3 linked regions of the Oryzias latipes genome follow. The protein of the gene in region 1 purifies or fractionates together with the protein of each later gene. This does not show direct contact. Links are inferred from orthologs where the notes say so. Each region holds a gene or a part of one and is shown in the gene's direction. Other genes may lie near its edges.

Region 1 (8,900 bases):
GGTTGGATCCCGCGCCCCTGTCCGTCTGCCCCAGGTGATGGTAGCTACTGATGCAGCCACAGCTGCATCAGTAGCTACCATCACCAAGTATGAATGAATTTAGCGTGACACAGGCCCTTTTAAGTTGTGTGTTTTGTGTTAATTCAGTTTTGTATCGCAGCATGAGATTGTGTTTAGCTCCTCTGTTTGTGGATTTTCTCCAGCATGACTCCAGAATCATGAGGGTGTTTTCTTTCCACATGCGCTCAGTGTCATGAGCTTCGCCCGAAGGCGGTAACTGAAGCAGCCCTCGTGGGTTTTTTCCCCTCCCCCTGCCGATGCAGGAGATTGACCCCAGCCTGGGCGTGGCGGAGCTGCCCGACGAGTTCTTCGAGGAGGACAACATGCTCAGCATGGGCAAGAAGATGATGCAGGAGGCCATGAGCGCGTTTCCCGGGATCGACGAGGCCATGAGCTACGCAGAGGTCATGAGGTAAACGGAGCGGCGGGACCGCCGTCGGCGCTCGCTGCACGTCCCTGTGAGGAGTAACTGAGCGTGCTTGTGTGCCTGAACGTAAGGTTAGTGAAAGGAATGAACTTCTCGGTGGTGGTCTTCGACACCGCCCCCACCGGCCACACGCTGCGCCTGCTCAACTTCCCCACCATCGTGGAGCGAGGTCTGGGCCGCCTCATGCAGATCAAGAACCAGATCAGCCCCTTCATTTCTCAGGTGAGGCGGCGGCGGCGCCACTGGAGGACGTTCTCCAGCTGAAGCTGTCGACCTTTTTGATTCCCTCTTCCAGATGTGCAACATGCTGGGTCTGGGTGACATGAACGCAGACCAGCTGGCGTCCAAGCTGGAGGAAACGCTGCCGGTCATCCGCTCCGTCAGCGAGCAGTTCAAAGACCCCGTAAGTGACGTTCAGCAGGACTTCACCTTCCAGTTTCACTAGTCGAGTTACTAAAGAATAAACACACAAAATAGAAGCTCTAAAGGCCCGTACACACCGGGACGAATATTCGCCAGGCGTTATTCGCCAGCGTTTTTCGCCACGTCTTTTGTGTTCACACCCAGGCGATTTTCGCTGACGATGAGCTGAACGAACATGCAATTTCATTCCCTGACATTAGATGGCGCTTAATGTAAACAGAAATACTCCTGTACACAAGGTGGCGCTGCACAACTTTACGCTTCTTAAAGTTGCTTTTCACTCAGAAGAAGAGAGCAAGTATTTACGCGCTTGTCAGAATAATACAAAGAAAACATGAATATTTCAAGCACCAGTAGCTCCAACTGGTGCTTGGTTCGGGGATATTTTAGAATGTCCGTCATTATTTCTTCGCGGCAGTGTAGACGCTACTTGGCGTCTATCTTCTTCGCTGGTATGTGTGCTCAGAAAGGCAGTTTTGTGTTTGAGCGCCCCCAAGTTGTGTTTTACTGTAACTTCAGAAGCTCCAGACACGTGTGCAAAAGCGCCATTCTCATTGGTCGAATAGATTTCGACGCGGCGCATCAAACCAAAAAAACGAACCCGAGGCGTTTTTAAAAAAAGTGACGCTTTGACGCGTGGCGTTTTTTCGCGTCGGTGTGCACACTCACATTGATGCCCTTTAGGGTTGTGCCGATGGACGATATCATCGTCCATCGTGATGGGTGACTGACATCCCGATGGAGAGACCACCATCGTGATGCCACGCCCCCGCCACGTTGCGCGTCGACACCATAAGCCGCGGTTACATGTACAAAATATCTTGATGGGATCAATGGTCGGATTAGAATCCAACCGTGTAGATGGGCCCAGAAATTTTTTTCCAGAATATAAAAACGTTCACTAAGGTCACAATTTCGGTCGGAATAAATCATTCGCACATGCGCAGTATTCGCACATGCGCAGTTTGAAAACCGGAAGAGGATACAACTTCCGCCGAGCGGCTTTTTTTCCAAACTTTATTGAATGTAACAATTCAATACAAAACGATAACAGCGCCGAGCGGCTATATACATTGACATGTCAGCTCGGTAAAATACGAGATGATCTTCTAAACTTGCTTTTAATAATGTTACGGTTATTATCAAACACCTGTTCGCTCATCATTTGAATTTTAATCCGTGTGGTCAGTGCTTTTTCTGAACGTAGCCAGGATTAGCAGTATGCTAACACGGGCTAACAACATTAGCTTTGGGTGGCGCTGCATGCTGTGAATAACAGCATGCAGCCTTTATTTAGTCGGGACACGACTGGAAACACAAATCCACGTGATTGTTTGAATGTTTTCTAAGGACTGAGCGACATTTCTGCTTTGAAGCTCAAACCGCTGTGTCTGCTGACGATCCGAGCTGTGCTCAGACACACGTTTAGACCCGGTTCTGAGTTCGGTTGCTTGTACCCCTAGAGCTGCGGGACGGATCGCAGTCTTAAATCTCCCACACATACCGCTCATGTACCCCCCCCCCCCCCCCCTTCCCATCAAACACAAAGCTGTAAATCCGCCCTCCACCGGTCCACTTCGCTAGTTAAGTGCGGGAGCGGATTACTTCTTTTCTATTTTGTTTGTTACTTTTTCTGTTAAAGTCACTTCCCTCAGTTTATACTGGATCATCGCGGATTAACCATTAGTTGGGAAATAAAATGATAAAAGCAAAATAACGAATAGCAGTTATATAAGAACGAAAAATGTAAACACCCCCCCCCCCCCCCCCCCCCCCCCCCCCCCCCGACGATGTCATCGTCTATCCCGATGGTTGACAGCAAACACCGTCAACAGCCAAATTAGGGGACATCGCCCAACCCTAGTGCCCTTTGTTTAGTCACGAGGCGTTAAACGTCGGCGAAAAACGCCGGCAAAATTCGTCCCGGTGTGAACGGGCCTTTAATGTGGAGAAACAATTCTCAGATGAATACAATAGCAGACGTAACCCGTGCATCATTTCCTTACATTAACCCCCCCCCCCCAAACATACTGAACATAGAATAGGTCAGTTCAAAGGCAATCATTTTAGTTTAATGTTAGTCATTTCCACTCCGGAAACTTCAAAGTTTAAAAACAAACAGCAACCATCCCGTAAAGCGATCGCTGTGCTTTGGTATGACGGAGCTTAGATCTCGGCAGCGTTAAATCCCAGGTCTCTGGCGCGGCAAACCATCCTGCGAGGAGAACACAGAGCACGCCTAACGCCGTGGGCGTGGCGTCTCCTCCGTGGATCCGCACCGGGTCGGGTTTTGCTTTTGCGGTCAAAGCGACCAGCGTCCGAAAATGTCGGAGGGCTCACTCCAAGCAAGTCCCCCTGTGGGGGGCCTCCGTCACCACCCCCTTATTTAGTCTTTTAATGAAGTCCCCCCATTGTTTAGCTTTTTTCTTTTAAAGAGTAATGTACATGGTGTTCTGTTGTTGGGGTTTGGTTCTGACGACCAGGCGGTCGTCAGAACCAAACCCCAACAACAGAACTCGACTCTGGTGTTCCGTCGTTGGAGTTTGGTTCTGACGACCGCCTGGTCGTCAGAACCAAATTTTATAACGGCTGTGACCAGAGTCGAGTTCTGTTGTTGGGGTTTGGTTCTGACGACCAGGTCTGGTTCTGACGAATGTCTCCCTGCTCTCTTCAGGAACAGACCACCTTCATCTGCGTGTGCATCGCCGAGTTCCTCTCCCTCTACGAGACGGAGCGGCTCATCCAGGAGCTGGCCAAGTGTCGCATCGACACGCACAACATCATCGTGAACCAGCTGGTGTTCCCCGACGCCGAGAAGCCCTGCAAGATGTGTGAAGCGCGCCACAAAATTCAGTCCAAGTACTTGGATCAGGTACGAAGCGTCCCGGCGTCTGCCGTGAAACGGCGTGAGGTGGGATCCGCGCGCTCATTTCTGCCCCGTGTTCTTCCTCACAGATGGAGGACCTTTATGAGGATTTCCACATAGTCAAGTTGCCTCTTCTGCCCCACGAAGTGCGAGGAGCTGACAAAGTTAACACCTTCTCCAAGCAACTTCTGGAACCCTACAAGCCTCCAAACAAGTGATCCTCCCCGCAGACGCCTCCTCCACCCTGACGCCTCCTTCCAGCCGCCCTCAGATCCTCACGAAGCCTCAGCGCAATCCGCTCCGTCCCCCCCCCGCAGGGAGGGGACCCCACCCGCAGCACTGCGACGGCGCCGCCCATCCCGTCCTCCGGTCTTCATCGGTCTCGGTGTGTTTCCACATCTGATCAACAAGCCCCGCCCCCTCTGCTGTGCACTTGTTGGTGATTCCAGTGAACGTGTTTTTTTATTTCCAAATAAAACTGTTTTTTGACCTCTCCATATTCTGAGCAGACGCGTCTGCGCAGATCAGAAAGCAGGTCTCTCCGGCCGCCGTGGCAGCAGACGTGTCCCCGCCTCTCTGCGCTCGTGGCGTTAAAGCCGGCGCTCACCAGTGACATTTGGAATGAAGCTAAACGGCGGGCGTCTTACCCATACGGGGATGGTTTCCACTCAACATCCCTGCATTGATTGTCCTTCAGCAAAGTGCTCAGCCACGGGACCGTGACACCTGAGAACACAGAAATGTGCAGGTAGAACGCAGGTCAACTCCTCCTCTGAAACTCCCCTCTTCGTCAACGAAGGCTTCTGAGTCGGCGAGAATCTTTTTCTATAGGTTTTCTTTAAGTGAAACTGGCAGTGAGAATTAAACGCAGTTGCCTCAACTGGCAGTCTCCTGTTTATTCCTTAAGCCAGTGGTGGGGGGGGCTGGAGACTGACCCGCATGCAGATTGTCTCTGATGGAGCATGAAGCCCGTCAACCTGCACCAACACCCCCCGCTGAGAAAAGGGGATTCCTTCGCCGTCGTCCTGCCTGAAGCCGTCAGAGGAAGGACTGAAGGGTTCATTTACTTCACCCCAGTGTTGTCAGGTAAACCGTTACAGCCAGTGGGAAATCCACCGGTGGGTAGGAGGGGGGGTTGCAGCTCCATGCAATCATAATCTACCTTAAAGTATTAATGTACAGTAGCATTTCATTGACAGAAGTAAGTATTTGATCCCCTGGTAACCATTCAGAGTCCTGGGTCACACAGACCCGTTAGACTCTCCTTATCAACCGTCTGTCCCCTGTTTGAACTGATCACCTGTAGAAAAGACACCTGTCCACAGAATCAGTCCATCAGACTAGAGAGCTTTCAGTGGATTTAAAGGAGAAGATTGTAGACCTGCACCAGACCAGACTGGACTACAAAGAAGCAGGAGGTTACCATGACAACCGTTGGTGCAGCATCACCATCAATCCTCCTGTAGGTCTGCGGCTCCAAACCAGATCTGACCTGGTGGGGTTTCTGTGATCATGAGAACAGAGAAATCAGGAGTTAGTTGAGGATCTCATTGGTGATGCTTTACATCTAACATCTAGCAGAGCTCACAAGTCCCCCCCGCTCTAGAAGACACATGTGGAGACCCGCCTGATGTGTGAAGGATTTAGACAGAGATTGGGAGAAGGAGCTGTGGTCAGATGAGACCAACATGGAGCTCTTTGGCATCAACTCAAGCCGTCGTGTTTGGAGGAGGAGAAATGCTGCCGATGACCCCAAGAACGCCGTCCTCACTGTCAAGCATGGAGGTGGAAGCATTATGGTTTGGGGTAGGTGTTTTCTGCACAGGGCTACTTTCTCTGTGAGGATTGGCGGAGCCATGTACCGTCCAATCCTGAGTGAGAACGTCCTTCCCTCCACCAGGAGGATTAAATGGGGAGGTGGGGGGGGGGGGGGTGGATGGGTCCCCCAACAGGATCATGACCCAAGACATACAAGACGAAAAAGAAGAGTCAGATCAGGGTCATGGAGCGGTCCAGCTGGTCTCTGGACCTCAGCCTATAGACAGAGCTGAAGCTCAGGGTTGCTAAGCAACAGCCACCAAATCTGAATGATTTAGAAATCATCTGTGAAGAAGAGTGGAGCAGAATTCCTCCTGATCTGTGCAGAAACCTGATCATCAACTACCAGTAACCTCTGACCTGCTGCTGCTGCTGATGATGATGATGAGGGTTTGCTGCCAGGAAGGATCAAATACTTTTTTGTTCCTTAATGAAATGCAAATAAATGTTTGCATTCCTAAAAGTGGATTTTTTTTAATTTTCTAACTAGGTGTTCAAATGAACTGTTGGGATTTTTAAAAGAAAGAAAGGAAATCCTAGAAAAGGACTAGTTGGGATGTGATGGTGTCTCTTTAGGGTGTCAGTAAAAACCCGCTGAAGTCTGAATTTCCACAGCCGAGTGCAGACTGTTTTGAGTCTTTTCACATCCATGATTCATCTAAGGTCCAGAACTGGGTTCTGCAGGTGAGTACACTTATATGTCGCGTGTGGGAGGTCGTCAGTGATGGACGCTGCAACATCCACCTGTACGTGCGCTCAATGGTCTCTCGTTAGCAAACAAGAAACGTACGTAACTTGCTGAGAACGTTGTTACAGCTCGTCACCATGGCTTTAGATCAAAGCTCCCTCTCCCTCCTCATTTCATGTGCATCAGCCGAGGGAAGTCCCGTTTCGATGATAGGCCTTTACAACAGGGATGGCGGACTGTCAAGTTCTTTTTAAGTGGGCAAAATCAGCAACAAACACTTATTTCCTTAACTGTAAAAACCATTGGGAGAAAAGTCTTTAGTCTGTCCTGAAGGGTTTGGATGGTTAAAGTCAGCGACCTCTGTGTCTGAAGGAATGACTTCATATACCCTCTGGAAAACACAGAGGTGGAGGTGTGATGGTTTGGGCACACAACTTCTGCTCTTGACCGAACCCGAATTCATTCCCTACCCCTCTGGCTTCTCCCTACCCCTACATTAATCCCTCCAAGCAGAAAACTTTGAAAAGATAGTGTCTTCAAATCCGGACGCGATGACAAAAGAAAAACGCTGAGCTACGTTGGCGCGAAGCTACCAGCGTTTGGAAAATACAAACAAAAAGTCATTACTTTTATTTAAATGTAAACTTCTGTGCTTCAGAGCACACCCACCGGAAGAAATGTTTCTCCTGCGGAATCACACCGGCGGAGGGATATCCAGCTCTAAGGCGCTACAGCTCCCCCTTACAAAGAAAAAAACAAGTTTGCTGCTTTAAATAAATTTGGTTTTGGTCAATTCTTCTGGAATGCTGTTCAAACTTTATATGTCAATAGTAATAGTTCTATAAAACTCGCCAGCGGAACTTCTCCTAGATTCTTCTTGAAACGTGGGGTAAGGCAGGGATGCCCCTTGTCAGTGTATCTGTTTCTTCTTTCTGTTCAACTCCTCAACCTACATATCAAACTCAGCCCATTAAAAGGTTTAATTGTGGCTGAGAGGGAAATATTCATAAGTCAACTAGCAGATGACACTGCTCTCTTTCTCCGAGACGCTTCACAAGTAGCTGTGGCGATTAATATTATCCAATCCTTTTCTAAAGCTTCAGGACTTACCCTTAATTTAAATAAATGTGAAATTCTGCCTGTTAAAAACTGTTTACTTACATCTATCCAAGGTATTCCTGTAAAAACATCTGTTACGTACCTTGGTATTCAAATCACTAAAGATATGCAATCCAGATGTTCTACAAATTTCTCTCCAATAATAGATAAAACCAAAAAAAACCTAAACCAATGGCTGCAAAGAGATTTGTCTTTGAAAGGCAGAGTTCTGCTTACAAAAGCAGAAGGAATCTCTCGTTTGACGTATGCAGCTCAATCTCTACAGGTTAATAACACAGTCTGCAATACAATTAATAGAATATTATATAACTTTCTATGGAGAAATAAAACTCACTATATTAGAAAATCTGTTATTTTAAATACCTCCGATAAAGGCGGTTTAAATTGTATTGATTTTACTGTCCTTAACAATACACTAAAGGTAATCTGGATTAAGAAATATCTTAATAACCCCACATCTATCTGGAACTTTATTCCACATTTTGTATTCTCAAAGGTAGGAGGCCTGAACTTCCTGCTATGCTGTAATTATAGTATTCCAAAAATCCCTTTGAAACTGTCAAATTTTCATCAACAGGTTCTCTTAGCCTGGGCTCTGATCTACAAACACAACTTTTCTCCACAGAGTTGTATTATAGTTGGAATAACTGTAATATTGTCTATAAAAGGAAAACTCTGTTTTTAAATAATTGGTTTAATAATGGTATAATTTTCCTCAATCAATTATTCAAAGAACCTGGATTATTATATAACTACTCAGATTTCACAAAGCAGTATAAAGTACCAATAACTCCCAAAGAATTGGCAGTAGTGTTTGATGCCGTCCCATCTGGGCTTTGCATGTTATTCAGGGGTTTCTACAGCGCTCATCCTCTGACTCTTCATCCTCCTGAGGTGCTCAAATCTCCTCTGGGGAGTTTCTGCTTCACTTCCGCTAAACAGTTGAACTCAAAAATCAGAGCTTTGTTCCAAGATAATTTAGTTTCTGTTCCATCAGCTATCTATTATTGGGCTAATTTCACTTCTAACATTGATTGGAAAAAAGTCTGGTCTTTACCACAAAAATACTTCTTAACAAATAAAGTCAAAGAAATCTCTTTTAAACTCCTACACAGATTTTATCCAGCAAAGCATTACTTAACTAAATTTAAGGCTGACATAAACACCAATTGTACTTTCTGCCAGAAACAACCTGAAACCTGCTCTCATTTATTCTGGTCTTGTGAATTTACATACAGATTTTGGAAAAACATTCACAAATTTATCACCGATTCTATTTTTGCTGACATACAACTTTATTATAAAAACATACTTTTTGGTTTTCATAGCTTTGATGTCAAAGACCGTGATGCTTTCTTTTGTGTAAACATGGTATTATTTATGGCTAAATTTCATATACACAAAAGAAAATTTTCCAATAAAAAACCTGATTTCTTTGTGTTCAAACTGGAACTGCAGCGTTATTTAAACTTAATTTCTGCTTCAAAAAATACAAAAGC
Region 2 (10,598 bases), on another chromosome or scaffold:
CAGGTATGACTGACATTACTCATATGAGCATGAAAGACTCCCAGCCTCTCATTGTGGAGAACAGCTGAGGGGAAGCGAGCTTTCAAGTGTGTTTGGAGGTAAGTCCAACTGTCTCTGCTACCGCTCAGCATCTGACACTTTAACACTCACTGATGGGAATTTCCAGGTCGCCGTAACCGGAGTCCTTTTTGGTAGAGTCGACCAGAGGACAAACAAACAAATCTGAAAACATGGGCCCTTTATAGTCCTTCTTTTGGGTTATTGTGGGTAGTGAATTTAAAGGAATGCAACACCAGATAGTCTTTTTGGGCAGAGCCTGTCCGGGTCCTGAGGTAAAAGACCCGTCCACCATGTCCTCGCCTTTAGCGCCAACCACTGACATCACCCTCAGAAAACAGCTGAATTCTTGCTGCAACAAAATGAAGTCGATTCAGTCGCCTTTTTTTTTTTTAGATAAGGAGGCCGCCATGTTGGAGCCAGATGTCTTTAGAAAGCATTAATTGGTCCGAGTTGATCTGAGTCAACCACTTGAACCAATCAGGAGTGAGGTATTTGGAAGGCCACAACTCAACCACTGACTCAGGAAAATCTAACAAGTTGAACATTCATGAAGGGGGCCCGCGGGCACCGTATACTTTTTATCTGATTGGTCAGTTTATAACTTGAATAACCTTTACTACATAAAAACGATGTCATGAAAAAAAATAGGATTAGCAGGAAAATTGAATAAAAATGTAGAAGAGCAAGAATGGTCATTCTAGGTAGCAGCTGTTCATTTCACTATAGAGGTTTATGGGATTTTGGCTTCTTGGAGCCAGCAGGTACTTCCTGTTTGGAACACCAGGGGGGAGGGGTTACTCATTCCAGTTCTCATATACAGTCGATGGTTCCAACCTCAAGCTGAGCTCCAGAGTGAAGCTCTTGTGATGTCAGTTCAGGTGACACAGCTGATCCTTTTTTAGTTTTCTAAAGGAAGCATTTGATGGATCTGCAACCGTATGATCCAACTTCACCTGAACTGTCATCTCAAAGGTCTCTAAAGTCATCCAGCTCTGGTGTTACCTTCCATGACCATGTCATCCCTCTCAGGCTGTATGTGATACGTCCAGCTCTGTTTTATGCAATCTTCTCCCCTGCAAAAATAAGTTTAAAAAAAAAGTTTAAGTGTCCCATCAACCAATCTGCGTATTAAAAAAAGACTTTCTCTGTTTCATTTTCCTGACTGATCTAATAGCATCTTAACTTTTTTTATTTTTCTACCTTTTGTCAAAATTAATCAGTTTGGGAGTTTTTACCTTTTTTAAATGTATTATTTTATCAACTTTCCAAACTTCCCTTTTTTTCATTGTGGCTTGAAGTCACTTTCCAGGTGTGAATATTGGCAAACACAAAAAGATCTCATCTTTCTGATTATAATGGAGGTATTTTTCAGTTGGAATTGTTTTTTTCCCTCACATGCGCATATTTCCGGTCAAGACCAGCGTATCATTAGCCGCCTCCTCGATGGTGAAAACCATGCTGTCAAAAACTCTGAACTTCTGGATGTCGGCCTCCCGGTGACTGACAGCTGCCTTGAAATACCACTTTCCCAGATACTGAAATAGAAACAGAAACAGTGACAGTGAGGGAAGAGCGGATGCTTAAAAACCGATGCTGCTTTCATAAACCCACAGCGGGCCGTACAATAAAGACCCCATGTGGAAAAAGACGGGGGAGTGGAAAGAGCTTCTGTGCTGCAGCCCAGCTCATGGATCTGTCTTTGAAGAACCAAATGATCTGTTCATTTCTCACCTGCTGATGGTTGATGGTCTTCACCATCAACAGTTGAGGAAGTGTGCAGGGGACCAAGGCCTGATAGGCCAGAGAACATAAATACAGAAAACCCGACCAGGCTTCGTTGAACATGTCTGCAGTTTGAATCAAACCAGATTGAACTGAAAATCATCTCAGCGTGCAACTCAAACAGAGTGTGGGTGTTAAGTCAATGATTAACGTGTGTTCCTCAGCCGTGACATTTCTAAAAAACACACACACACACCCCATAAGCATTTTAGATAAACGCTGAAGTGAAACGCACGTTAACATAGAGACTCGCTCCTCGGCCAAAATCCTCTGAAAGGAGAAAGCCCACCTTGTTTCCACTGTGTGAGTCAGCCTTATGTAGGAGGTCGCATCTTCGTCAAGGTCGAGCCATTGATTATAGTGTCAGGGAAGCGGAGCAATCCTGCGTGTTCTCACTGTTACTCTGCACTGTCTTCACCAGAAATCACTATCAGGGTGTGGAAAAGCAATGCCTCAGAAGGAAGAGCTCAGAGACTAAATGATAACTGATCATTAAAAAATGTTTCAATAAATAGTGGACACGCTGAGAGAACTTCTGCAGGCATTTCTCATTTTAAAACTCCACTAACAAGAGACAGGTGTTTATTAACTGGTCAAAGTGTCACATTCTAACACCTAAATCATATTATTATTCCTTTTGTCTTTCTTCAAGTATTTTGAGGCTGACATCTCAGTTCTAAGCTATTCTTCCTTTTCTCTTCCTTTCTGCTTTTCCCCTCAGGGGTCAATCATCTTCCTCCATCGAAACCCTGTCTTCTGCATCCTCTCCTCTAACACCAGCGATGTCCTCGTTCATCCATAATTCTCATCTTTGGTCTTTATCTTGCCTGGCAGCTCTAGACTCAGCATCCGTCTACCAATAAATTCAATGTCTCTCCTCTGCACATGTCCGAACCGTCTCAGTCTGGCCTCTCTGACTTTATCTCCAAATCCTCTAACATGCTGTCCCTCTGATGTCCTCACTCCCTAAAAGAACCTCAACATATTCATCTTCATCGTTATCATGCAGTTTTTAGCCAGAATCAGATCTAAGCTAAATCTTTTTAAATGCCTACTCGAGTTAAAAAAATAGTTTTTGGATTTTTGAAAGTGTTCTTGTGGCACATTTTGATGATGAAGGACATATCTGACGCAAATTCAGATCAAAATTGCATTTCTGAGTATTTCTTTTGGAAATAGGAGCAGAAGAAAAATGCTATTTGAAAAAGATTGTATTTGTGATGTAGAAAATACCCTAGGCAGGCCACTAGCTGCCTGCTCCATTCCTTTCTGATTCATCCACTGTCAGACAAATAGATCCATCTTTATTTTCCACCCCTGAGCAGAATCTGGATCTAAACTCTACGGCTGGACAGCTCCATTATTGCTCGGCATAATCATAATTAAAAGACCAGGAACACTTTTACGATGGATTGAAAAAAAAAAAGATTGGAGTGGGACTTTAAGGTAGCTCTATATTTAACAAGACTCTACTATATACCCATCTTTAAACATTTGAAGCCTAGTGTTTACATAATCCATCTTCTAAACGTTGTAAAATTTTAACAAAACCTTTAAATCTGGCTTCATCTTTCCTTTAGATTACTAGGAAATGTTTAAACAATCTTAATGAGTATCTCCTTTTTTTGCATTTTATACTAAAAGTAAGTTTAGGTATTAAAACTCGATTTGAAATAATAGAAATGCAATATTAACTCCTGGTGATATCATTTTACAAAAAAACTCAGTGAACAGACCAGAGGTCTGAAACCTGAGGCTCCAGAACTACATGCTACTTTTATCCCTGCATTCTTTGGCTTTACTATTAATTACGGTTAATTAAGTTTGACATTTCAGGTTGGATTTTTAATATATTAGACGATTGATCAAAAATGATGGTAAGCTATTTCATTTACTGTCAGAAAGATTTGGTAGAATAAGGTAGCAGCGTTTTTTTTTTGCTGTTTAGAGGCAAAGGTACTCAAGTGCATAGGTACATGTACATTTATAGATTTTTTAAAAAGGATTCTACACCAATGCTGTCACGTTTCTATTAGTTATCAAAATGAGAAATGAGAAAAAGGACGAAGGCACCCCAAAGTCATGACAGAAAATGTCATGATTGACATGTATTTTAAATTCAAGTAAATCGGAGCTTTTTCACACAGGGTGTTTTATTTTGAAAGGAACTTGTATGTGCTGCCGTCTAAAGTAAAATAGATTCAATTTTATTACGTGTATAAAACAATACATTTTAGAATGCAATTGTAAATATTTCAAAGCTACATTTTATAAATGAATTAATAAATGATCACAAAAACATAAAGTGTTTTTTTTTATAACAGTGAAGTTGGACTTCATGGCTCTTGCTGGGTTCTTTTAATGTGAAAGGTTCCAGAACCCTGATACTGTTGGTGCTTTTACATTTACGCCCACAAGGTGGCGCCAGAAAACCTGTCACACGTGCTTACTATACCACATGTATTACAAACGTGACATGCTGCTGCTTTTAACAATTTTATTGAGTGTGAGCTTTAGTGCATGAGCTCTGTTCAAACTTTTTTCTCATTTCAAAGTAAACTCAGTTTACTACAGCCAGTTCACCTCTTTACAGGCAAAAAATAAAACAAATAGAAACGTTTTGTTCTATTTTGATGGGAAATTTATTATAGGCTGGAATTTGCAGTGAACATGAGTAGATTTTCAGCTTCTCTGGTGGTGTTCTTGTCATAAAGATGAGGATGGAGAGTCAGCAGCTTCACGTCATCTGAAAGTCTGTGAAAAAAGAAGAACGTTTCCCACGATCAAAGCCGACGAGCAGCTTCTTTGACCTCCTGGGACCTCTGAGGGGTGCAGCAGCTGGTGCAGGCCTGTGCAGTGATGTCCTGTTCCCCGTCCATCTACGACTCCCCCCTCAGTACCGACTCCAGCTCCCCACTCTCCTTCAGCTCCTTCACTATGTCCAGGCCCCCGATCAGCTCCCCTTTCACGTAGAGCTGGGGATAGGTGGGCCAGTTGGAGTACGCCTTCAGGCCCTGACGGACCTCTTCGTCCGACAGGATGTCAAAGGTGTCAAAGTCCACCCCCGTGGAGTTCAGGACCTCCAGGATCTGCCTGCTGAAGCCACAGCGCGCCGCCTCCTTGTTGCCCTTCATGAACAGCATGACGGGGCTCTGGTTGATGATGGCCTTCAGGCGGTGCTCCAGGGTCACGGCCTTTGGGCAGGTGGTCTCCAGCTCCCCGGACTCGGCCAGCTCCTTCACGATGTCCAGCCCCCCCAGCAGCTCTCCGTTCACGTACAGCTGGGGGTAGGTGGGCCAGTTGGAGTACGCCTTCAGGCCCTGACGGACCTCTTCGTCTGACAGGATGTCAAAGGTGCTGAACTGGACGCTGTGCTCCTTGAGCAGCGCCACCATCTGGCGGCTGAAGCCGCAGCGGGGCTCCTGCGGGGAGCCCTTCATGAACAGCACGCAGGGCGCCGCGTTGATCAGCTTCTTCAGCCGCTGGTTCAAGTCCGCGGCGCCGCCGTCCGCGGCTCCTCCTGGGGCGGGCCCGCTACCCGCCAGGCCCTGGACCTTCTTAGTCAGCTCCGCAGCGTGCGCCCCGTCCAGACGATCCACCTTCTCACCCCCCTTGAAGAAGATAAAAGTGGGGACGGAGGATATGTCATACTTTTCCGACACATCGGGAACAGCCTCCGCCTCCAGCTTCACAAACGTCGCGTGCGCGTGTGCCTTGGCCAGCTCGGCCATCACTTCGTTCATGTCGCCGCACTGAGGAGCCCATGCCGCCTGGAAATGTACAACCGCGAGGTTTTTTCCAGCTTTTGCAAGGAAATCCTCGAACTGTTGTCGGCTCGTCGCCTCTAGCACATTCGCCATCTTTGCTTCTTTGACCTCGACAGCAGTCCGGCGGCTTTCTGACGTCACATCCGTTCAGCCCTAAAAGCTGTTAGCTGTAGCATAGCCGCGACGCACCGGAGAAGTGCTCGGCTTTCTGAATATAAGAGCCTCCTGTGGACTCTGGATACGTTAAAAAACATTGTATGATTTAAAAGGTAAGCGTTTGACGGTGTGACGCATAAAAAACGGAATGTTCTGCGCTTAAGCATTAGTAGCGACACGACAGATCAGTTAGCATCTTTAGCTAATCTGTTTGGCTAATTAGCCAGTCGGCGTTTATTTGGTTCCTAAAAAAAGTAATCCTGCTGAAGAGCAAGTGGCGATATGTTACTTTCTATCTTTTGTTATACTGTCTGTCCTAAATCTTAGTTTAATATTACATCGCTCCTGTCCTTGTTTAGCGAATACAGCCGGGCTAACTGTTTTTGGCTAACGCTAGTACAGGGAGTCCGTCTTTGGGAAAAAAACAAAGCATTAAATCAAATTTAACCCACTGAGTCTAACATAAAGATATAGATGCTATTTTACGTTAATTGTATGTTTATTAAAATTCTTGTTTAGGAAATAGCTCAGTTAATAATGTATTTTAAATTAGAGCTAAATAATTCAGCTGATTGTAGTTATCCGGATTCCTTAGTTAGAGATTTTATTTTCTAGACTAAAGGCTGGTTAATAAATTCACTTCAACGTTGCCTGTTTGTTAAAAAGAAGAGGTGATCTAGATGATTGCTGAAAAATTGGAAACTACGCTCACTGTTCTTCATAAACTTATAAACATGCCGTGGACGCACCATGCTTGTTGAACAGATTGTTAAATAACCTGGTGCTTATCAAAATTTTTGTAAAAGTGTACAAACACTTTAAAAAGTCACATAAACAGAATAATTTGTAATTGAAGATGTAATACAATTGCAGGAACGCTATGGATGAACAAACCTCAGACATAGAAGTGACGGTCAAAACTCTGGACTCTCAGAGCAGAACCTACTCAGTCGGTGCTCAGGTAAATGGAAAGTTCCTGCTGTAAATATTTGGGTAGTTTCCTTTTGTCTTTTATGATCTGACTGAAATGATCCATTGTTTTGCAGCTGACAGTTAAAGAGTTCAAAGAGCACATTTCTCCTTCAGTGGGCATCCCTGTGGACAAACAGAGGCTCATCTACCAGGGCAGAGTACTGCAGGATGAAAGGACGCTGGCAGACTACAGTTAGTCAAAGGATATATTAAATCTTCCTCCTCTTAACCTTTCAGCTTGTTGCTTCAGGGAGTCTCTCCATCTGAACATCCCTTCTGCCTCCTTTCAATCACACCACCAAGGAGCATTTCAAAACTATTTCTTTTAAGTAAAAATTCTGTCATTGAATTAGTTTTTGGTTCCATCTGCTCTTTCTGCTGATTTGCCACTGCTTCTGTTTTAGCTGACCATATTCTCCGCTACTCTTGTAGATGTGGCTGGAAAGGTGATTCACCTTGTGGAGCGGGCCCCCCCTCCACCCTCCCAGCCTGGCTCGGGGTCAGGGGCCACCGCAGCCGACAGCGGGCAGTCTTCATCCTCCCAGGGAGCATCGCAGGTGCCTCCACACGATCGCAATGCCAACAGCTATGTCATGCTTGGAACCTTCAACCTCCCCGTCAATATCATGGACCCCCAGCAGATACAGGTAGGTCTGCATTGTTGGTGTGCGTTGTCAGGGATGAAGGCAGCACTGCTCAACAGATGACGAGATTCCAGTTGCTCAGGGCAACTAAACTCTGTGTTTCGGCATGAAGATCTGAGTTCAGTCAAGTTGAAACATTACTTTTCTAAACGGCTGCCTTCAATCTGCCATGAGGCTGTCTGCTTTTGTTAACAACCTTTGATCACAAACCTGCAGGAAATTTTTCTTAAAAGGACCAAGTCTTCTGGATCAAAATGACATGAAAGTCAGATGGGTTCGTTCAAAGTGAAAATAAAACCACAGGGATTGATTTCAGATTTTAAAACCATCTAGATGTAGTCGGTTTATCACGCAGAGCACAAGTGAATTGTTCTGTGTGATCTCTGCATTGTTTTCATCTCAGCATTTTCCACTATGTCCGATCATATTGTGTGGAGATGTTAAAGGGAAAATGGACAAAGATGGACTTTAGAGACTCCGGCATATGAACTCTGTTCATGTCATCTTGATGGGTTTGCTAAATTATCCTAAAAACAAATACATTTAAAGCTGCAACGACTGTTGAATGACCATTGCCACCCTGCACCATGGGCCCATCAACAGCCCCCCAGGTCTGTCTGCTGCCCCCAGCAGCTTCTCCTCGGCCTGTGCTGCAACAGAACAGGATTAAGGCGTGATGCTCATCCTCTAACTCTGCAGCCCCATCTGAAAATGGTGCCACAGTAAAACCCCACCCGCTCCTCTACATTCCATGGTCCATGACATCAGTGAAGATGGAGCATAAAGAAATTTAATGATTTTTACTGGATGGCTCTTTCTTAGGGGATATATATATATAAAAAAAAGGTTTTACTGGCCCAATTTTACTTAGTTTTTTTTGTTGGAAGAGAACAAATCGTTTACTTTTTATGACAAATTTTTGAATCAGTTTTGCGGATTTTCATGCATATTAGGGGTCTAATTAGGTCTCAAAGAGGGAGAAAGTAAAATAATAAATAATAACAATTGCAATTATGACTCTTAGTCCACTTTGTGATTGCTTGAAGACTGTGGTTTAAGCCGAAAATTACTCAATGATATGATAAAGTATATAATACTTATATAATAAAGACACTAACTGTACATTAAAGCTGTGTGATTCTTGTGTCTCCTAGATGTCTGTTCAGCAGATGGTCTCTGGAATGGGAGATAATGCAAGAAATGCTCGAGTCACAGCCAGTACTGGAGTAAGTAATAGAAGCTCCCTTCTATTCTTTAAAAGCTCGTCAAAAAACAGGATTTGAAACAAAAACCTTTTCTTTCCTGTTGTGACTGCTCTCAGAGCAACGGGTCTGTAAACGTTCACATCGACATGGACCAGCCGGTGCAGAGCGAACCCAGGCTGAGGCTGGTTCTGGCCGAGAATCTGCTGCGAGACCTCAACGATGTCATCAGCAGGATGGAGGCGAGCCACTGCGCCACAGGAGTCTTTATCTCCCAACCGCCATTCACTGACATTTGTCGTTTTTAGGGTCGACAGAGCGATTCCCAAACCTCCCAATCAGAGACGGCCTCTGCTGCTGCTCCGCCTCCTCCCTCTTCTTCCTCCACAAGCTCCACCCCTTCTCCCTCCACTCAGCCCATGGACACCTCACCTCCTCCAACAACTCCACCCACCTTCTCTGCTCAGTCTGAGGGACCCACTCCACAGCCAGGACCCAAGTGAGAGATTGAATTCAAAAGATTCACGAGAATTTTATTTAGTTTGATGATATTTGAAGGCCGTCTGTTTAAACAAGTGATCAGCTCATAAAACCAACGATTTATTGATTTGAGAAGCTGATAAGTTTTCTTATCCCCACACCTCTAGACTAAACATTAGAGGTTCCACCAAAATATTGAAATAATTCAAATTTATGTTTCTATTTGGTCAAATATCAATCTATTTTTCAAATTTCATTTAAAGTCGTTTTTTGTGTAGTTATGAAAACATTTGTTACATGACAGATATCAACTAAACAAAGGAGATTCTTTCCTTAATAAATGATACATTTTTATAATTAAAAAATATAATTATTAAAATAAAAATCCAACCTTATGACATATCCTCCGGGTTTTTTTTATATTAAAAGTTTCTTAACTTAACTAACTAAATGTACTTCTAACCCAGCTTTAATCTAGTCTACAGTAGATAAATTATTTTTATATCTGTTTTATTTGTTTGCTGTCGTTGCCCCCCCACCCCTGCAGTCACCCCAGCCCCGCTGAGCTGGCAGAGATGTTGTCAGAGCTGCGGAGAGTCGAGGAGAGGCTGCAGCCTTTCATCCAGAGAGCGCACGGCATCTTGGAGACGGCGGCGGCGGCCGAGTACAACAATGACACAGTAATGCAGCACCCCTGCATCACGAGGCGCTCTGTCGCTGTAATGTTTGTGTTGGCGTGACTAAATATTACATTTTTATGTTGTTCTCCGTGCAGGAGCGGGAGGACGACCAGAGGACCCTCATCCAGATGTGCGAAGGTCTCCGGCTCCTTGGCAATGCCCTGGTTGCCCTCAGTGATCTTCGACTGAACCTCTTGAGCCCGATCCCCCGACATTTGCATGTGGTGCGGCCCTTTTCCCACTACGCCAGCCCGGTCACTCTGCCCAGCGCCGTGCATCACCATGTCCCAGTACAAGTACGTCACAGTCGTCAGTTTTCAGGTCGGTGCCCCCGCTCGCACACTTCCACTGACCTCTCTGCGCTTCACTCACAGATGAACCTGGGGGCCACAGTGACTGTTGCGGCCAACAGCACTGAGGGACAGGCTCCGCCCACACAACCGTCCGGCCAAGCGGAGCAGGCAGGTCAGGGACAGACCCCCCCCGCACAGACTTCCCCGTCCAATCAGCCGCCGGGACAGGGACAGGGACAGGCTGGCCCCCGGGTCATCAGGATCAGCCACCAGGCAGTCCCGGTGGTCATGATGCAGATGAACGCGGACGGTGTGTTGTCCCAGACGCGCTGATTGAGTTTTCATCGCAGCAGTTCTGGGTTTCAGCAGCTGCCGCTGAAGTCTTCGGCTGCAACATCCATGACGCTCCGGAAATGACCGACGTGTTTGTGTTTGTGATCGCAGGTCCCAGCCCCAGCCCTGCAGCGGGGGGACAGCCGATCCCGGCACAGCCAGGTGAGGGTCGGCTGTGGCTTCGTTTCCGTCTCTGGATCATATTCTTCTGACCTTGTCCCCTCTGCCC
Region 3 (10,334 bases), on another chromosome or scaffold:
TATATATATATATATATATATATATATATATATATATATATATATATATATATATATATATATATATATATATATATATATATATATATATATATATATATATGTATATATATATATAAATAAAATATATATATATATATATATTTAAAATATATATATAGATAAATAAAATATTTGCTTACTCTCTGTCTATTACCAAGCATGTCACAGCACCAACAGCAAGTGCACTCACAGTCCAAGAGTCTTCTCTGAAGGAATAGAGTCAAAAAACTTTGTCAGAAAACCAGAAATAAATTAGATTTTACAATAAAATATTCCAGGACATCCTCTGAGACTCTTCCATCTGACCTCGAGAGCGCTTTTTCTCCAAACCACTGCTTCTCAGAGAGCTCAGACAAGACTGTGTGCTCCTCATGCCCCGCCCTCATTTCTGTCAGAGTCACCTGTCAGGTTTCAATAGAAAAAAGAGAAAGAGTATTTTACTACAAAGTACCTTCTCATCAGATTTTTGCTATTCTCCATTTAGGTTTGAATCAAACGTATGACAGAGGAAGTGCAACTTTACCTGTCCTTTGCTGATGACATAAAGGTTGACTTGCACAGATCCTTGGTGAATAATATATTCACCATCTGCATAATATGTCTGTGAGAAGACAAAAAAATCACAGGAGACAAGAGGAAGCAGAACACGGCACGCATTTGAATATTTGCAGTCAAAGCAATGCAGAAAGTTCAAATTGTAAATGGACTTCATGTCTGGACATGCAGGTTCTGTTAAAAGTAACACACATCTGAGGAGCTCACCTCTTTCATGAGCTCAGAAATCTTCATGATGACATCCTCTGGCAATGACTGCAGGAGGGGAAGGCTGCAAACGCACAAAGAAGAAATAGAAAATGTTCAAAAAAGTCAAACTTGACATTGTGGACATGTTATTCCTTTCACAGTTATTGGGAACAAAATCGTTTTCATTTAATATAGATGTTCGACAAAAAAATAAAACCCTTGAGGTGTTCCGTGAATTAAAACTCATCGTCTGAGGCTGCTTTGTTCGATTTCTCTGGTTGACACTCACCTTCTGAGCAGCTCCACTGAATGAGAAAGGCGGCTGAGACTGCAGTGCATCAGCACAGTCTGAAAGCTCTTGCGGTCAATAGTCCACAGCTTACAGTCCGATTGTGCTGAGACAAAAGCAGAGAAAAATGTGAAGGTTGTTGTCAGCGACACCTGAAGTAAAGTGGAGAAGCTGCTGAGGAGAGACAGTACATGCCGCCTGCAGTGGTTTGAGATTCACAATTAAATATCAGCTGAGACCTAAAAAGCAAGCGGGTAAATCAGAGTTAATAGCTGTCGTTTCACAAGACATAAATCGAATCCTTTAGCAATAAATACTCTATATTCAGCGTTTGACGATGGTGTAAAAGAGTAAGTGCTGATATTGATTGCTTCACAAAAGCTTCCTGCAAATAAAAGATGTTATCGTCGAGACAGTCAGAGTGGATCCAGCAGCTAATAAACGGTGCGACTCAAAACGTTTCAATTTTAATGTTCCGATATTAACCGTGAGCTTCCACTTTACAGCTTCACCAAATTGTTTGTCTTGAAGCACAATTTTTCTCCCTATTCTCATCATTTTTCTTCCTGATTACATGCTGCCATCTGCACAGTATCATCATTCAGACGAACAAAAGAATTACATGAGATGAAGAGCAGACTGAAAGCAGACACTCGGCAGCCTGGATATTCACAGAAGCAGGAATCTGGTTCATAAAGTCAATTAAGATAATTGAACTCATAGATAGTGATTGAAATTCTTTTTTCCCACAAATTGATCTTATCACCTCATAGTGAGTGAGAAGGTCCTGCTTCAAATCCCAGCAGGATCTTTTCCGTGTGGAGTTTGCCTGTTCTCCCAGTGCATGTGTGGGTTTTTCCAGACACTCTGGCTTCCTCCCAGTGTCCACAAATATGCATCTTAAGTCAATTGATGACTCTAAATTGTCCCAAGGTGTGAATATGTGTGTGTCACTGCAATGGACCGCAAAAACCATCAAGGTATATCCAACCTTTGCCCAACAGTGACTGGGATGGGCTCCGGCAGCCCTGTGACGCCAAAATAGATCAGAAAATGGGTTGATGGGATGAGATTCTGCATTTATTTGTGAAACCAGGTCAGAGGCTTGGGGTAACGACAGAGTTTCCCCCATAGAGCTTCAAGATTAGATATGAAGAAAGGATGTGACACTTACTATGTCATGAAAATATCACAAATCTTTAAAAAGGTCGACAAAATGGGTTGAAATGTGTCGCTAAATCCAGAACTGCAGGGAAGAGAAGTGCTGGGTTATTCAAATCAAAATATGTTTTACGGTCAAAATGACTTAAGCCAAAAGCTGTCCTTGTTGATTTTAGATTGAAGAATTATTCAAAGAGCATGCTTCCACTTTGAGGCATCTTATCCTATCATCCCACAACTTACCAGAGACAGAAAAGGGGAAAGTGCAGTTGTAGAGGAGTGCCAGCTCGCCAATCGTATCCCCTGGTTCAATTGTCAGCAGCTTGCACCCGTCTTGAGTCACGCTCAATCTTCCTTCTGTCAACATCACACACTTAGTAGGAAAAAGGAGCACATTGATAGTATAGAATCCATGTCGGATAAAAGTAACTGTCAGCTTGATGCGCACTTCATGCACAAAAGATGGTTCAAGTGACAAGACTGAAAGCAGGAGGCAGCTTCCTCTCTGATGAAATCTACGTTCAGTTCATGACCTCTTTTCTCCTGGTATTCTTGTTCATGTTCCCCGTCTTTAAGCGGGAGCTATTTGTGTGCTTTAAACCATAAAGCTGTCATCAAATGCAAAAAAAAAAAAAAACAAGCTGCAAAATGAGTTTTAAAAAGCAGTTGTTGGTGAAAACAAATTATTTTAGCCACTTTCCTCACAAGAAACCTCTAATAAATAATCTTAAGGATGACAGATGGCAGCAATTTACCTTCTAAAATAAAAGCCTGCTCCCCAGCGCTCCCCTCCTGTATGAGAGTGCAGTTTTGATTGATGGAGCAGCGATATGTGCAGGATGTGACAGCTCTCATTTCTCCTTCGTCTAAGTTCTTCAACAGGTCGTTTTTCAAAAGCCCTGCCTGGATCAGGCTTTGAGATCTGATGACACACAGGGATGATAAAGATGCAACACTCCGAGTGTAGCTGTCAATCACCTTAAATGCCGCGCCACAAGCCACAAATGCTGACTCAAAATGCTTGACCATTGAGTGATGCTAAAAAATTTGAAAAGTTGGCCTTCTTAGCTGAAGTTGGAGGAACACAGTGTGCTCTTACTGTTGACTTTTGTCACAGCTTTTGTGTGAAATCCTGGCGAGAGTCACGGGGTCCGGGCTGAAGGGTTCTGAAATGACTGTGTGCTTTTTAGCTCGCTCCATGCCCTCAATTTGAGGAGCTATAAAAAATAATTGAGATTTTTAGGTCACGTCTACAACCTGTACTTTTAAATGATTGACCTACTCTTTACCTGCACTGGGTGAGGGTCCTGAGAGGCAAACAGTGGTCCTGTAACGGTCCAGTTCTTCCTGTAGCCTTCGAATGAGTTCATCCTTTGTATCCAGTTCAAGCTCCAACTCATCTATGAGTGTGTCTCTCTGGCGGAGCTCCTCGATTTTTAGTTGCAGAGCAAACTGGAGGTCCCTCAGTGTACCCATGATCTGCAGGCATCAGCCAGGAAAGCACAAAGATAAACAGCTCGTTGCTATGAGAATAAAAAAGAAATTGTAATTTTTTATTTCACAAACTTAAATATGAAAAATATTATGCATATCTATCTATGTCAAAATGCTGCCTTGCAATTGTAGCACACATTTCCATCCAGGTTAAAGGCAAAAACAATTCATTGTCAAGTGCATCATAAGTTTATCCCACTAAAAAGAATACATTTTCAGAGTAAACAAATTATACTTTTTTTTATTATGTACGTTTTATGTGAAGCTGCAAGGTTTTATGTAGGCTATATAAAAATTGTCAAAAGAGAAAAAAACAATAACAAAGATAAATTGTCTTTATCATCTTAAATTTAATTACACTCAGCCACAGATCCATTGTTTTTTCAACACCTAATTGATGGATGGTACACAAATGCTACTCACCGGTGTAGGTGAGCAGTCCGCCTGGCGTCCTCAAGTGAAGGATGCTGGTCAGGAGGAATGCCCACAGCGCAGACAGGCGGTCACGTGACGCGGGCTCCCTCCAACCACGAGGAGGGGGAACAGAATGACACATGCACAGGCTGGATCCGAACTGGGTCAGAGGAAAGTAGTTCTAATGGGAAAATTTGACACTAAATTTTGCTTTCGGAAAGAAAAAAGAACGAGCATCTGCCCGACTTTGGACATTAAAAAAATGTCAATGCTGTAAACGCATTTTTTGTGAAAATCTTTTTGTGTATTGAACATAAGCAATAGAAGGTGGTCAGGTAATTATGGGTAAATTGTAACAGTAATCTACAGGTGAGTCGGATCCAATTTTCTTTTCAAATTGACAAACACGTTACTATTCAAATGTAATGTAATGACAAAAGTTTATCACCATGTTTTTTGTCTGTCAAAGGAAAAAAAACACCCATGTGTGTACAGGTGTATTGGCACAGTATCCTGCTTAGGAGATCAATTTGGATATCATCGCCTAACCACTTTAGTTCCGATAAACTTTTAATTGAACTTTAATCGTGGTGTCATTTCTTCTTAGCTGCGGTACATCCTTCATGCCAGTAGGCGGCAGCAGCATTACTTGATGTCAGCAACAGAGGCAGTGGCATCGTTGAGAGGAAACAGGAGAAGAAGATGGGACGCTGACGGGACCACAGCCAGTGTGGCTATAACGAGCAAACTTAGTAACCCTTTTGGCTGGACTTTAATCACATTATTGTGTGTTTTTGTTTTTAGTGAGAGTGTTGAAAAATGATTCTTACAGTAAAGCCACTTCAAGGGAAGGAGTGCAGTGTTCAGGTTAGTTAAAAAATCGAACTCCATAATGCTAATTTGCACAATCAGCTAGCCGGGTATATCTGTTAGCCGCTCAGCATCATAAGTTTTTTAAAGTGCTTTGAATAAAGTGAACATAAATTTAATTTATTAGTGACTGTAACTCTAACACTAACCAGTACTAAAGATGCGGTTGTACATATACACACCCGTTTATAGTTCTAAAGCAGCTTTACCGCAGCTAGCATGTTAGCTAATTTAGAAATGCAAGACGAAGAACTCTTTCTGTCTGAATCATTCTCGCTGAGGTCACGCCCAGCAGCTGAGTGGAAGTTGTTGTTACTCCTTACTTGGTGCTAATGCAGTAAAGAGAAGTGAGTAAGGAACCGCGGTGTATTAGAGGACTTTGTTTGGTCAGCGCGTTGAAACAAAAAACGGTGTTGGTATTATTTTACAGTTCAGCAGTTATATTTGCTGCTCCTGGATGTGCCTTTGTGTCAAATCAGTTAAGACATACAGTTGCATGAAAGCAGCATTATGAACCTGCTTCTCTTATCACAAATTTAGAATTGTATATATTTTTCATTTACATAAAGTAATCATTTTAAAACTCCACAGCACTTCATTAACTTTTTTAATTATGTAGTTATATATTCTATTTATAATTTTTTTTAACCAAAACATTTTTTTGGTTTTGTGTTGTTCTTATTTTGAGTACCGTAGTACTTATGATCATGTTTTTTTTCTTTAATGCCAACTTTAAAGTGTAGCGGTAATTACACATTATACATTATATATGGCTGTTCTTCAGATTAAGTCAAACATGTGCACTTAAAATTGGTCATACAAAGCCATTTAAGACATCTATTGAATTAGATTTTAAGCCGAGAATTTTATCCCAGACAAGACAGTGAGTTTTCGGCACATTTCGAAAAAAATACGAAGGCTTTGAATAAACAATATATTTGTAATTGTTTTGAATTATTGTAACAAATGTTTTTGTCTTGAGCTGATAAAACGTTTTCACAATAGGTACTTTGTTACTTTATTACATAAAATGAATTATTTATTTTGCCCGTTTAATACTGTTTTTATGTATTCATTTTTTTTATTATTGCATCCTTAGAACTTGTTTTCCCCGCAGTCTTTCTATACCAGTTGACTCTATTGTTCTTGTTTAAATTACAGTTTAAGAATTTGTTTTTATCCCACAGGTGACAGAAGATGAAAAGGTTTCCACAGTGAAGGAACTTGTTTCTGAGCAACTCAACATACCAGCAAACCAGCAGCGGCTGCTTTACAAAGGAAAGGCACTGGCAGGTAAAATTTGCCTACTACTTTTTTTTCTTTCCTTTATACTTTTGTCAGGTTCATAATTTATCTTTCTGTATGCCCTTTTTTCTTTCAGATGAACACAGACTTAGTGATTATTCCATTGGACCAGAGGCTAAATTGAACCTAGTAATCCGTCCTGCAGGAGAAAGATCTGCAGCCTCAGCAGTGACTGGCTGCAGCAGCAGGAACATGGGAGGACTGTGGCAGACTGTGTCCACTATACTTGCTAGACACTTCAGTCCAGCAGATGCAGCAAAAGTTCATGAACAGCTTATAAAGGTAAGATAAGTTTTTATTCATGGTTTCCCAAAAGTTGTAATGGTTAAAGTTCTGTTACTGCCTTTCAAACCCACTATATAAATTATATTACAAAACGAATGTCTATTTTAACTATTTAAAATAATTTGTCATGTTGTGAGCTTGACAGTTAAGCTCCTCTTTGTTATTACTAAACTTTGTTTTTGTTTGTTTTTAGGACTATGAACGTTCACTTCGACAGCTCAGCCTGGATGACATTGAACGACTAGCAGTGCGATTGCTTCACCCTGACAGCGAGAGCATGGACACCTCCTACATGGACTAGCATTGGAAAACCTAAATCTACTTTGTATGAATAGATTTAGGAGAAACTACATGTTTGGGAAAATAAATGTGAGGCCATTGAGAATACAATGTGTGCCTAATCAGTGATTATTGATATTGCTGACTTGTGTCAGTGACTAATGTTTATCTCAGCAATAGGGCTTTCTCATGTGTGTTTTCTCTTCTATTTTTAATATTGACACCATTTGTTGAAAGACTAGTTTTTTTTGTGTAAAATCAAAACACAAAAACATTGTTTCGTGCTAATGTTGCTTGATTTCTGGCTGCTGCAATTCCAGGCAACACTAACTTCCACTTGAGACTATTTATTATTCATGTCAGCGTTGAATGATGCCTGTTTTTATTTTATTTTTTTCATTTAAACGTGGGATAAAAGAATACACACATCTTTTATTGTTCAGATGGCCATTGTGCGATTTGTAAATATTGTTTATATATGACGACAATAAAAGATCAAGAAATTACTACGTTTTTTTGTTTTTTTTACGTTGTATTGTGAGAAATAGTTGTGTTTTGTGTAAATATTGCCGGTTTGGAAACAAGGAGAAGGAAGACTGAAGAGAATGTCGCAAGGCGGGACATTTTATTTTACCGCTGGGCGAGAACAATTAAGGGAGCCAATGAAGCAATAGCAAGACACGTGATCTATGTTTTTTGACCAATCAGGTGGGTTGCCACCAACGCTCCGCCCCTCTTTCCAAGCATTTGGTCTGTGCTTTATGTTCTGGTTACTTGTAAACCAGCTCCTATAAAATGGTGTATTTTAAACATATTTAGCATAATTTAAAGTATGAAACATAGAATAGTCGGATAGGGGTGGATATATTCGTAAACACTGAAAAGGTAAGAATGTAATATCGGGTTTATTTATTTATTTATGGCCAGTAAGCTAATGTTAGCATGAAGCTAGCAGCACATACTGTACTTCCTGCATTCATCCAGCGAGCGTTAGCAGATAACATTTATTACCTCGGACTTTGTCGATAACAAATGTCTAAAATGTACGTGCTGTCACCTTTGCTACCGGCAATCAATAGTTAATTTTAAATTTCAAATCCCTTCAAGCTAGTAAGTAGTACATTGTATCCGATGTTGGTCGAGTTGAGGCGTTGAGTCCTCTCATCATGATCATCAGGACCACTTCTCCCTGGAGAAAAGCCTTAGTAGGATAGCAACGCGCCACAGAGGAGGAAAACTGAAGATCCTGTTCCTTAGAGCTAAGCCTAAGGTTATCAATTAAACATGTTAGAGATGGTTGCATCCATGAAGCAAACAGCCTTGTTTCTCGTTGTTGAGTGTCTTGATGTTTCTGTTCACATCCCTCATGTGTTCACCAACAGTAGGAGAGACGACTGGAAAGATGGAAACTTTGATTCCCACCATCAACCGGCTGCAAGAGGTCTTTCAGACGGTCGGGACAGAGATCATACAGCTGCCTCAGATAGTCGTGGTTGGGACTCAGGTCAGTGGATGGAAACCAGAATTGGAAAACTGAGTGAAAACAATGTTGTGTTTGTACACTTATCTTGTCTTGATTATTGGATAATCATCCAGAGTAGATGTATACTAAAGTATGGTTTCACCCAGTTCAGGGTTCTAGTTAAAAAGTTCTTTTTAAATTAAAAATAGATGATGTCCTGTTATTACTCATGTGCTGTCGTTGTTTTTATAACAGAGCAGTGGAAAAAGCTCAGTGCTAGAGAGCCTGGTCGGAAGGGATTTTTTGCCTCGGGGATCTGGAATAGTCACAAGACGACCCCTTGTGTTGCAGCTCGTCAATGTTGCTCCACAACAGGAAAGGCTGAAGAATGAGCATGGTAAACAGATTATGACTCAATGATAACTCAATTCGATGTAAAACACTTAGGCTTATAATTCTCTCACAGCATTGAGTTATGTTGAAATCTTTCTATGCACTTCTCTCTGTCACTTGGTTTTGATACAGGGTTTTTCTGAACTAACACATTTTCTTCCTCTTTTTCTTTACTACTTTTTAGGAAATGGGCTTAAACAAAATATTCAAAACAGCTACACAGGTCACTATATTTGATCTGCATGAGAAAAAGTTTCTACTTCTTCATGTTTACCATTAACCGTCTCACTCATTTAGTTAATTCAGTTTATTTTCATTATGTTTTTGCCAAATCCTTTTTTTTAAATTCATATTCCATTCTTTTATACTTTAATTCTTCATCCCTGACACTTTTATGCTCTTATTTTCTATTCAGGTGTCAAAGCTGAAGAATGGGGCACATTTCTGCATTGTAAGAACCAGGTATGTTCATCATTTTTATTCTTGTTATGCTTCTGCTTCCTTTGTTTTGCAAGCTTTCTGATGTTTGATGGGTGTGCCTTTCTTAACAGATCTTCACAGATTTTCTGGAAATTCGTAAAGAAATCGAAGCAGAGACAGAGCGCACTTCGGGGGACAACAAAGTGAGAAAAAGGCTTTTGTATAACCTTACTGACCTGCAATATTTTGGTTTTACATAATAATCATGTTTTCTTTTCTTTCTTGTTTTCCAGGGAATCACTTGTGAGCCCATATATTTGAAGATATTCTCCCCCAAAGTTCTGAATCTCACTCTGGTTGATTTACCTGGAATTATCAAGGTGAACTCAGTAATCTGACAAAAATGCAATTTTTTTTTTTATCTTTACTTTTTGATTTGTGCAAACATCTGTATCTGCAATCCATGTTCATTTCATCCAAACATCTGCCTGGGTTTAATGTTGAATGCCTCTTGTTTTTGCTTTAGGTTCCTGTTGGAGACCAGCCAGAAAACATTGAGGCTCAAGTGCAAGAGATGATCTTATCCTTCATCTCCAATCCAAACTCTCTTATCCTCGCAGTATCCCCTGCCAATTCTGACTTGGCCACCTCTGATGCTCTGAAATTGGCACGTGAGGTTGATCCAGATGGTAAGACATTTTGAATACAATCCCTTTTTCTCTCTCTGAGGATTTTTGTTAAAATGTGCTTCTTGCATAACAAATCTAAATTTTAAATTACATAATGTTCAGGACTGTCTCCGTGTGTTTTTGGTTGAGATATTTCTCTCCAGTCCAAATGCTCCTGACAGTCACTTTGAAAGTCCTCGTTCATGCTGAGAACTTGCAGGTCTGATCCGTAGATTTTGGGTTCTTCAGGTCGTCGAACGCTGTTGGTGGTCAGTAAACTGGACCTGATGGATGCTGGAACTGATGCGCTGGAGGTCCTCCTGGGGAGAGTCATACCTGTAAGGCTTGGCATCATCGGGGTGGTCAACAGGTGTGAAAGAAATCATACATGTTCGTCTTATTTTAGCTTAGTCTACCACATCAGCCTTCTATGAAACCTCCATTCCTGTCTTCTTTTAGGAGCCAGCATGACATTAATACTCAAAAGAGCCTGGAGGACTCGATTAAA

Evidence for each region.
Region 2: the proteins of asna1 (region 1) and bag6 purify together in Homo sapiens (co-immunoprecipitation; 5 studies listed by BioGRID and IntAct, with this or other methods). This does not show direct contact. The link is inferred for Oryzias latipes from reciprocal best matches to the Homo sapiens genes GET3 and BAG6.
Region 3: the proteins of asna1 (region 1) and ubl4a purify together in Homo sapiens (affinity purification with mass spectrometry; 4 studies listed by BioGRID and IntAct, with this or other methods). This does not show direct contact. The link is inferred for Oryzias latipes from reciprocal best matches to the Homo sapiens genes GET3 and UBL4A.

What each region holds. Positions count from the first base shown.
Region 1 is NC_019859.2:35,303,329-35,312,228, forward strand, and holds the end of asna1 (ATPase ASNA1), read left to right. Parts: intron 1-323; coding exon 324-472; intron 473-558; coding exon 559-709; intron 710-782; coding exon 783-890; intron 891-3,584; coding exon 3,585-3,782; intron 3,783-3,865; coding exon 3,866-3,994; 3' UTR 3,995-4,656; downstream 4,657-8,900.
Region 2 is NC_019874.2:28,115,577-28,126,174, forward strand, and holds the start of bag6 (large proline-rich protein BAG6), read left to right. Parts: upstream 1-5,753; 5' UTR 5,754-5,878; intron 5,879-6,636; exon of another isoform or gene 6,637-6,638; 5' UTR 6,639-6,645; coding exon 6,646-6,726; intron 6,727-6,811; coding exon 6,812-6,929; intron 6,930-7,169; coding exon 7,170-7,384; intron 7,385-8,535; coding exon 8,536-8,607; intron 8,608-8,702; coding exon 8,703-8,825; intron 8,826-8,891; coding exon 8,892-9,082; intron 9,083-9,610; coding exon 9,611-9,743; intron 9,744-9,838; coding exon 9,839-10,039; intron 10,040-10,117; coding exon 10,118-10,346; intron 10,347-10,480; coding exon 10,481-10,531; intron 10,532-10,598. Other genes in the region: uncharacterized protein LOC101169638, read right to left, coding at 1,063-1,133, 1,456-1,595, 1,792-1,905; glrx3 (glutaredoxin-3), read right to left, coding at 4,722-5,702. UniProt on the Homo sapiens protein: ATP-independent molecular chaperone preventing the aggregation of misfolded and hydrophobic patches-containing proteins.
Region 3 is NC_019867.2:16,991,613-17,001,946, forward strand, and holds ubl4a (ubiquitin-like protein 4A), read left to right. Parts: upstream 1-4,815; 5' UTR 4,816-4,963; coding exon 4,964-5,011; intron 5,012-6,201; coding exon 6,202-6,307; intron 6,308-6,395; coding exon 6,396-6,601; intron 6,602-6,797; coding exon 6,798-6,905; 3' UTR 6,906-7,389; downstream 7,390-10,334. Other genes in the region: cGMP-dependent protein kinase 1-like, read right to left, coding at 183-248, 349-443, 566-643, 805-868, 1,076-1,181, 2,480-2,593, 2,992-3,158, 3,336-3,453 and 1 more; dynamin-1-like protein, read left to right, coding at 8,286-8,387, 8,601-8,742, 8,923-8,961, 9,154-9,200, 9,290-9,361, 9,452-9,538, 9,685-9,847, 10,076-10,196 and 1 more. UniProt on the Homo sapiens protein: As part of a cytosolic protein quality control complex, the BAG6/BAT3 complex, maintains misfolded and hydrophobic patches-containing proteins in a soluble state and participates in their proper delivery to the endoplasmic reticulum or alternatively can promote their sorting to the proteasome where they undergo degradation.